Linked DNA regions of Mytilus edulis. The protein of the gene in region 1 binds, or shares a complex with, the protein of each later gene. Links are inferred from orthologs where the notes say so. Each region holds a gene or a part of one and is shown in the gene's direction. Other genes may lie near its edges. The genes, in order: beta-galactosidase-like and lysosomal protective protein-like.

Region 1 (3,936 bases):
TAATATTCTGTTGTTTTTTTTTGTACAAACCTATAGGATCTGATTTACATACATATAGGCCTACTTGAAGTAAACTATTCTCTTGTACACTTGGACACATAACTTTGTTGTAAAAAAATATGCATCTGTAATCCAAAGTGTTGACATTGTAGACAAAATCCGACAAGGTTGCATGTGTCAGAACACACTTTAAAGATTGAAAAGGGAAGATATCAGGGCAATCCTCGACACGAAATAGCTTGTCATAGATGCTTAGGTCTGAGGTTGAGATGGTTTTACTTCTTCTTTTTTTACCTCAATAAATAATTAGAGAAGCAAACAATTACAAATTTGTCCCAGGAAATGATATCCAACTTTGACATTTTAACTATTAAGGATCTATGATTTTTGTTGTTGATTTTTTTCTCCCTCAGAGCATTGGGACAAGTTGTACTAGAGGCTGCATATAAATCCAAGTAATGTTTGCGCTTATTTTTTTATTTCAACAATGTTTTTTGAGAGCCTGTATTTAGGCAACAGCTGCTTATCAGGACTAGATCATAAGTTTTTGAACATAAGTTTAAAGATGTATTGTAAAGTGCTTTAAACAATATCCGGCTTCGGTTTAGTTGCTTGAGTGTCCTTTAAGCAACTACAATATTTGTGCATATACACTAGCCTTGCGGAGGACTTCGCATTGCAACAGGTTAATATCACAGTTCCAGATCACCACTGATTCATATATATTTATATGAAAATTAGGGAATATAAAAAGCTGTTTTACTTTATATATTTATATATCTATATCAAATACAGGGACGAATTGTCAATAGGGTAGAATTGTCAATGCAGTAATAGGATATCGGTACACTTATATTAAATATTGGGTACGAATTGGTAAAGGTACGAGTTAACGTGTAACCAAGTCATATGATCTAATCACATGACTTCAACAAAACATTGAAAATGGCGACTTACATGTTTCGTCCAACTTTCACTTTCGTCTTTTTATTTATGATCATACATGCACTAAAGGTATTTGTTACACAAGTTAACTTATATTTTGGTTCAAAACATTTAAAATTTTAGATTAGTGTTCTCAAACATCTTTCAGAGGAGTGAAAACAAATTTTAATCAAATCAAATCAATACTCAATCTAACAAAATTCATGATCATTCATATATCAAATCAAATCAAATTTTTGGACCAAAGAGCCAGTGTGAGCTAATATGAGGCAGGCACTACCTGTAAATGGGGACGAAGTCTGTATGAATTATTTTTTTGTAACTTAAATATTTTGTTTAAAAAAAAAGAAACGGAAATACCGTAATGTTTCCGATTTTGGTTCTGTTGTAAGGGATTTAGTTGTGACGTCATTTAAATTATGACGTCATATGCAATGTAAACAAAGAAACGCTATCATCAGGTAACGTTTTTTCATATCAAGGAATTATTAAAAATGAAATTGGTATTGCACGTTCCTTCCTATTTTATACTAGACTGATAAATATATATTTTACTCAAAGTTTCATACAAACGAGACCGGAAAAAGGAAGTACATTGTACATTTCTGCGCAGGTCCAGGATTTCAAAACACGACAAAAAAAATTTGAACGATTTTGAGTTCATTAGTACAATGAAAAATTCGGGAAATTTTCCCGTATTTTTTTTTTATTGAATTTTCTACTGTTATTGGGGACTCCGTCCCCATATTAATTCAATAATTGTCATCAATTGTCATTGTCCTTGTCTGACAACAATTACAAATATCTTGCAAATAATTGATAGTTTTTATACAACTGCAAATTTTTTTGTGATCATATATTGGTATCACGTACATGACGTAGTCGTCCTCGTCCTCGTCGTCTGAAGACATTTGGTTTCCGGACAATAACTTTAGTATAAGTAAATAGAAATCTCTGAAATTTAAACACAAGGTTAATTATATCCACAAAAAGAAAGTTTGGATTGATTTTTGGGGTTATGCCTTATTGTCCCAACAATTTAGGAATTAAGAGGCCCAAATATGCTTTTTTCTAGTTCCAGACAATAAATTGTGTTGAAGTGTATGGATCTCTCTGAAATAATACCTCAAGTTTCCAGACTACAAACGGATGGTTAAGATTGGGTTTGGGGGGTTATGGTTCAAACTGTATATGAATTAGGGGCAAAAAAGGGGGAAAACAAGGGTTTCCTGGTTAATTGAGAATTAAGACAATTTTTGGATTACCTCCCTAACACTGCATTTAAATTATGTACAAAGAAATGTATTGTTTTGAGGTGATTAGCTGTCAATTTACTTTAAGAATTATGCTGATTAAGGAATATTAATATCAATGTTAATACTTTTATGATGTATTTAATGGGTAATTATGGTTGCAAACTCAAATGGAAATTTGAATTGAGATTATAACATTACTCGAGGGAAAGGAAAAGGGTGGGGGAGGTGAAAAAAATTGGGGGGGGGGGGGGGGGGGGGGAGAGAAGTTGTAGGGGCAATTTTTTTCAATTCAGATTTCAGAAATTTAAATGAAAATTTCTTCATATTTTTTTTTGTGCAAATATGCAACATCATAGTGTATTGCATAAAATTAAAAAAAAAAGTTTTTTTTAATTTTTATTTGAGAGGGGAGGAAAATTCACAACAGCATAGTGTATTGCACAAAAGCAAAAAATTGAGTATAAATTCAAATCATATTCATTAAATCAATTCAAGTTCTTCGACTTTATTCTGTGTCAGAAACCTATTATGTGTCAAATTTTTAATTACAATCCAAATTCAGACCTGTATCAAGCGTTAAATATTGTGTCCATTTTTGCCCCAACTGTTCAGGGTTGGACCCCTGCAGTCGTATCCAGCTGCACTCGGCAAAGCAATTTATTAACTGTAATGAATAGAATGAAATAACATCCACACTGTTATGAATTAGATTCTAATTAATTTTCCATTATATTCAGGCAAACAGAACGTTTACAATTGATTATGATAATGACATGTTCCGTATGGATGGCAAACCTTTCCGTTATATATCTGGCAGTATACATTATAGCAGGATACCTTCATATTACTGGAAAGACAGATTACAGAAAATGAAAGCTGCTGGCTTAAATGCTGTTCAAGTGTAGGTAGTCCATTAGACTTACATGACTTCAGGATGAATTTTTCTAAAATAAATATTAATACCAAAATGATCTATTTAATCTATACACAAGTATAAACTATGCTGACAGTCATCATCTATTATTACATTTTGTACTTACTGTATTACAAATTGAATCATCAGTTCAGCTCTGCTTTACATTGAAGATTAGGACAGGATGTCAGAATTAATGATTCCTTTTCATATTCAAACTATCTTGCAAACATCTTGGTACAATTAATTTAAGCAGTATCTATATTATAAACCAAAAAAATGTACAAATCCCCCCTCCTAAAGAATGAGTTGGTTTTCTGTAGATGATAATAGAATTTAAGCAAATTAAATGATACACATTTCTAGAAAAGAAATTTAAATGGGTTTTTTTAATTTCTAGATATGTACCTTGGAATTTCCATGAGATGGAGGAGAATGAATTGAATTTTGAAGGTGACAAAGATTTAGTTGGATTCATTAAGCAGGCACAGGAAGTTGACTTGTTTGTTGTACTTAGAGCAGGGCCATATATCTGTGGAGAATGGGACTTTGTAAGTTATTGTACTTTGAGCTGGATCTTTTTTTCTGATCAGAAAATCATTTTAAGATAAAGATATCAATCAATATATTTTAAAGAGGTCACATGGGTTTGGTTTCCTTGATTGAGGTACAGAGAGACCTTTGTTGGGAAGGAAGTTTAATTTGTTGGAATTCAATAATAGCCACCGGTAATTCATTAAAATTGTCAGGAATTTGGAGTTTTTATACCTTTGTGAGGCGGAAACTTACACATTATTTTCACAGAAATTCAGGATTTTACAT
Region 2 (3,936 bases), on another chromosome or scaffold:
TTCGTTGGATACCAAATTTCATTGATTTCGTGGGAACAGGTGAACCACAAAATAAAATGTTCAACGAATACAAAATTTTCTATAGGCTTGTACCGGTATGCATACTTCAGAAAAACCACAAAATCAAATATCCACAAACATGTAAGTTTTTTCCTCAATCCACGAAAATTGGTACCCACGAAAATAAATGAATCCACAGTGGAACATTTAAATACGAAGTAAGAGATGAATTTTGATCTCTTTTGCAGGGTTCTTATATTTTATATCAACCCTATTTTAAAACAGTTCCAGACTTTGCATAGAAATTTTTCAACCAGAAATAAGTTAACAGATGTATAAATATTCAATTTCTATTCCACACAGCTCATATATGTACTGGTATGAAAGTATGTTCTGGTGTCCATAACCTTGTAGATATGAATCTTTTGCTTAAGGTTTCTTTTATATCTCTTAATAGAACTATATACATGTAGCTAATGGCTGCTCAATTCAGACTATGAATCACATAAGCAACACGACAGGTGCCACATGTGGAGCAGGATCTGCTTACCCTTCCGGAGCACCTGAGATCACTCCTAGTTTTTTGGTGGAGTTCGTGTTGTTTATTCTTTAGTTTTCTATGTTGTGTCATGTGTGCTGTTGTTTGTTTGTCTTTTTCATTTTTAGCCATGGTGTCAGTTTGTTTTAGATTTATGAGTTTGACTGTCCCTTTGGTCTCTTTCGTCCCTCTTTAATAAGAGTCCTACAGTGCTGTGACTGTATTGAAGGATTTATATTTTACTATTCGAAAGTGTTAAATTCCTATCTTTTGAGTACAATATGTATATGTACTTTTCTCATTTGGAGTTATTGTAAGATTTGCTTTGAACTACATGTAGCTCCATATGTCAGATACAGATATACAGATTAAAGTTTATATGATTTTTAGCTAAAATGACAACTATTGTTCTTATTTTGTAATAAGAAGAAGAACACAAAAAATATACTTGTATATCAAATTTATCTTTGAAAAAGAGGTCAATTTTTATCATTTGCATTATTAGTAAGTCATTGTAAGTTGAAAATGTAACATGTTTATCAGTCACCTGGTAAGATTGTGTAAGATATAAACTTATGATTCCACATGACCAAGGTGTTAATATTTATTTATTTGACCTAATTTATCTAAAGGGCAAGACAGACACATGGTCTGTCATGGGAGGACAGACATCAGACCATGTTTGTCTTTCATCTCAGTATGTCCTTAAAAGTACTGTATATATATATACTTGTTCACTCATATCAGCTAGATCTATCCCCATAGACACATCTTTCCTGCTACTGTGATAGTTATTATTCAGCACATGTAAAAGAAAACAATTTTTTTTCAGATCACAAACATGTGGACTACAGTACTAGTGTTGACAATTTGTTTGATACTTCATATGAGTTATGGAGCACCACCTGCAGAGGAAATTAAATATATGCCAGGACTACACAAGCAGCCATATTGGAAACAGTATTCTGGGTATTTGAATGCTACTGGAACAAAACAGTTACATTACTGGTAAGTACATTGTATAAAAACAAAATAATCATAGTTTTATAGAAAATTGAATATAATGATTCTTACTATTTGTAGCATCAGCATGATCAGTTTCTCAATTATTTCTAAGTTCCCTGTATCTGAGATGAAAATAAGAGCTAGCATGCCAAAAAAGTATATTGTCTGTTAAATTTAACTTTATACTCAAATTGTTTTACATCAGAGGATATGGTTTATATTGGTAAACTAGTTACATTTCAGCATGCTCAGTGTCATCTGAATGTAGTTTACTTTAATTTTTTCACCTGATCAATTTTGTTTTTCACAACTTGACACTATTTGAATGAATACGGATGATACGATACAATTTAAATGCAACAAAAAGAGTATATATATATAGCATATATAGTGAATAAGATATCGTCTTTATCTTTTCTAGGTTTGTACAGTCAGCCAATAAACCATCAGAAGATCCTCTGGTTCTGTGGATGAATGGGGGACCAGGATGTAGTTCTGATTTAGGTTTACTCTCAGAACATGGACCTTTTAGGGTAAATTAACTTATACTGCATGTTTAAAATTGATATGCATTGTAGGCAGTTGCATAAGTGATAATTCATTTGCGTTCTAAGTTCTAATTTGAAAAGTAATTCCAGTTTACCATTACCTTTGAATGACGAAAAAGGATGTTTTTTATCCATATAAATTGTTAGTATGATTTTAAAATTCAGTACAAAATCACATATTTTTTGTGTTAACAATAATGACATGTCTTAAAAAAAAAAATCATTAACTTAGTTTCTTTAAGTAGCCATATTTGAACATAAAAAATGCCATTAAAAAAAATGTTTAGTTGTATTAATAAAAATAATCCCACTATTAAAGCAGTACCGTTTCCTGAAAACAGGCAAAATTTGGAAATCAGTCATGTCTATCAAATGATCTGTAAATCTCATTCTAGTCTATCTATATGAATGTTTTCTTATTATTTGGATACTGTGAAGCGAGAAGAGTATTCTTATCTATTATTTTTATTTTTTCCTTCTGTTTGATTGGACCACATTCAATAGTTTACCCCTCCCCCTTTTTAGCTCACCTGGCCCGAAGGGCAAATCTGACTGGGGTTAAATTGTTTATCAGGTCAAGATCTATCTGCCCTGAAATTTTCAGATGGATCAGACAATCTGTTGTTAGGTTGCTGCCCCTGAATTGGTAATTTTAAGGAAATTTTGCTGTTTTTTGTTATTATCTTGAATATTATTATAGATAAAAATAAACTGTAAACAGCAATAATGTACAGCAAAGTAAGACCTAAAAATAAGTCAACATGACCAAAATGGTCAATTGACCCCCTAAGGAGTTATTGTCCTTTATAGTCAAATTTTAACAATTTTCATAAAACTTGTAAATTTTTACTAACATTTTCCACTGAAACTACTGGGCCAAGGTCATTATCGATAGAAATAATTGTAAGCAGCTAGAATGTTCAGTAAAGTAAGATGTAGAAACACATCACCATCACCAAAAATTGTCATGAATCCATCTGCGTCCTTTGTTTGATATTCACATAGACCAAGGTGAGCGACACAGGCTCTTTAGAGCCTCTAGTTTACCATTGAATCTACCCAAGTGGGCCTCTTGTTTAAGTCAAATTGAAAAACTACCCAAAACTTTTTCATATTGAAGAATTTGCTACAATACAACAATCTAAAGACAAGAAAGACCACACCTTTCTCTTTATTGACTATACAGGTCTTTATACATGCCTACTATATCATGATTTTTAGACTGTACTTGACACCCCAATGAATATACAATTTGCAATAAAAATAAAAAAAACACAAAATGAATACATAAGTTGGTGTTTTTGGTAAGAATATTGATTACTTGTCACACCTAATCACAAAAATCCTTGTCATGATGGATAGTTTTAGAAAAATTCTACTTTTTAAACGAATTTTTAACCCAAATATGGAATTTTCAATTAACCATGCAGTGCCTCAGACAGGAAAAGAAGTATAGACTCATGCAAAGTGAACATTTTATGAAAAGTTCATTTTTAGCTCACCTGGCCCAAAGGGCCAAGTGAGCTTTTCTCATCACTTTGCGTCCGGCGTCCGTCGTCCGGCGTCCGGCGTCCGTCGTCCGTCGTCGTCCGGCGTTAGCTTTTACAAAAATCTTCTCCTCTGAAACTACTGGGCCAAATCAAACCAAACTTGGCCACAATCATTATTGGGGTATCTAGTTTAAAAAATGTGTGGCGTGACCCGGTCAACCAACCAAGATGGCCGCCACGGCTAAAAATAGAACATAGGGGTAAAATGCAGTTTTTGGCTTATAACTCAAAAACCAAAGCATTTAGAGCAAATCTGACATGGGGTAAAAATGTTTATTAGGTCAAGATCTATCTG

The links.
Region 2: the proteins of beta-galactosidase-like (region 1) and lysosomal protective protein-like are in contact, whole or in part, in a cryo-EM structure (PDB 7KDV), measured with the Mus musculus proteins. The link is inferred for Mytilus edulis from reciprocal best matches to the Homo sapiens genes GLB1 and CTSA. Residues at the interface, in NP_033882.1 of Mus musculus: Tyr198, Asp199, Arg202, His206, Leu229, Thr233, Leu234, Gln235, Asp236, Leu237, Lys258, Phe259, Glu260; in NP_001033581.1 of Mus musculus: Glu29, Asp31, Ala37, Lys38, Gln39, Pro40, Ser41, Phe42, Arg43, Tyr107.

Annotation. Positions count from the first base shown.
Region 1 is NC_092345.1:94,141,172-94,145,107, forward strand, and holds the start of beta-galactosidase-like, read left to right. Parts: upstream 1-918; 5' UTR 919-945; coding exon 946-1,014; intron 1,015-2,938; coding exon 2,939-3,102; intron 3,103-3,514; coding exon 3,515-3,665; intron 3,666-3,936.
Region 2 is NC_092348.1:35,176,842-35,180,777, reverse strand, and holds the start of lysosomal protective protein-like, read left to right. Parts: upstream 1-1,169; 5' UTR 1,170-1,184; coding exon 1,185-1,235; intron 1,236-1,370; coding exon 1,371-1,546; intron 1,547-1,964; coding exon 1,965-2,076; intron 2,077-3,936. UniProt on the Homo sapiens protein: Protective protein appears to be essential for both the activity of beta-galactosidase and neuraminidase, it associates with these enzymes and exerts a protective function necessary for their stability and activity.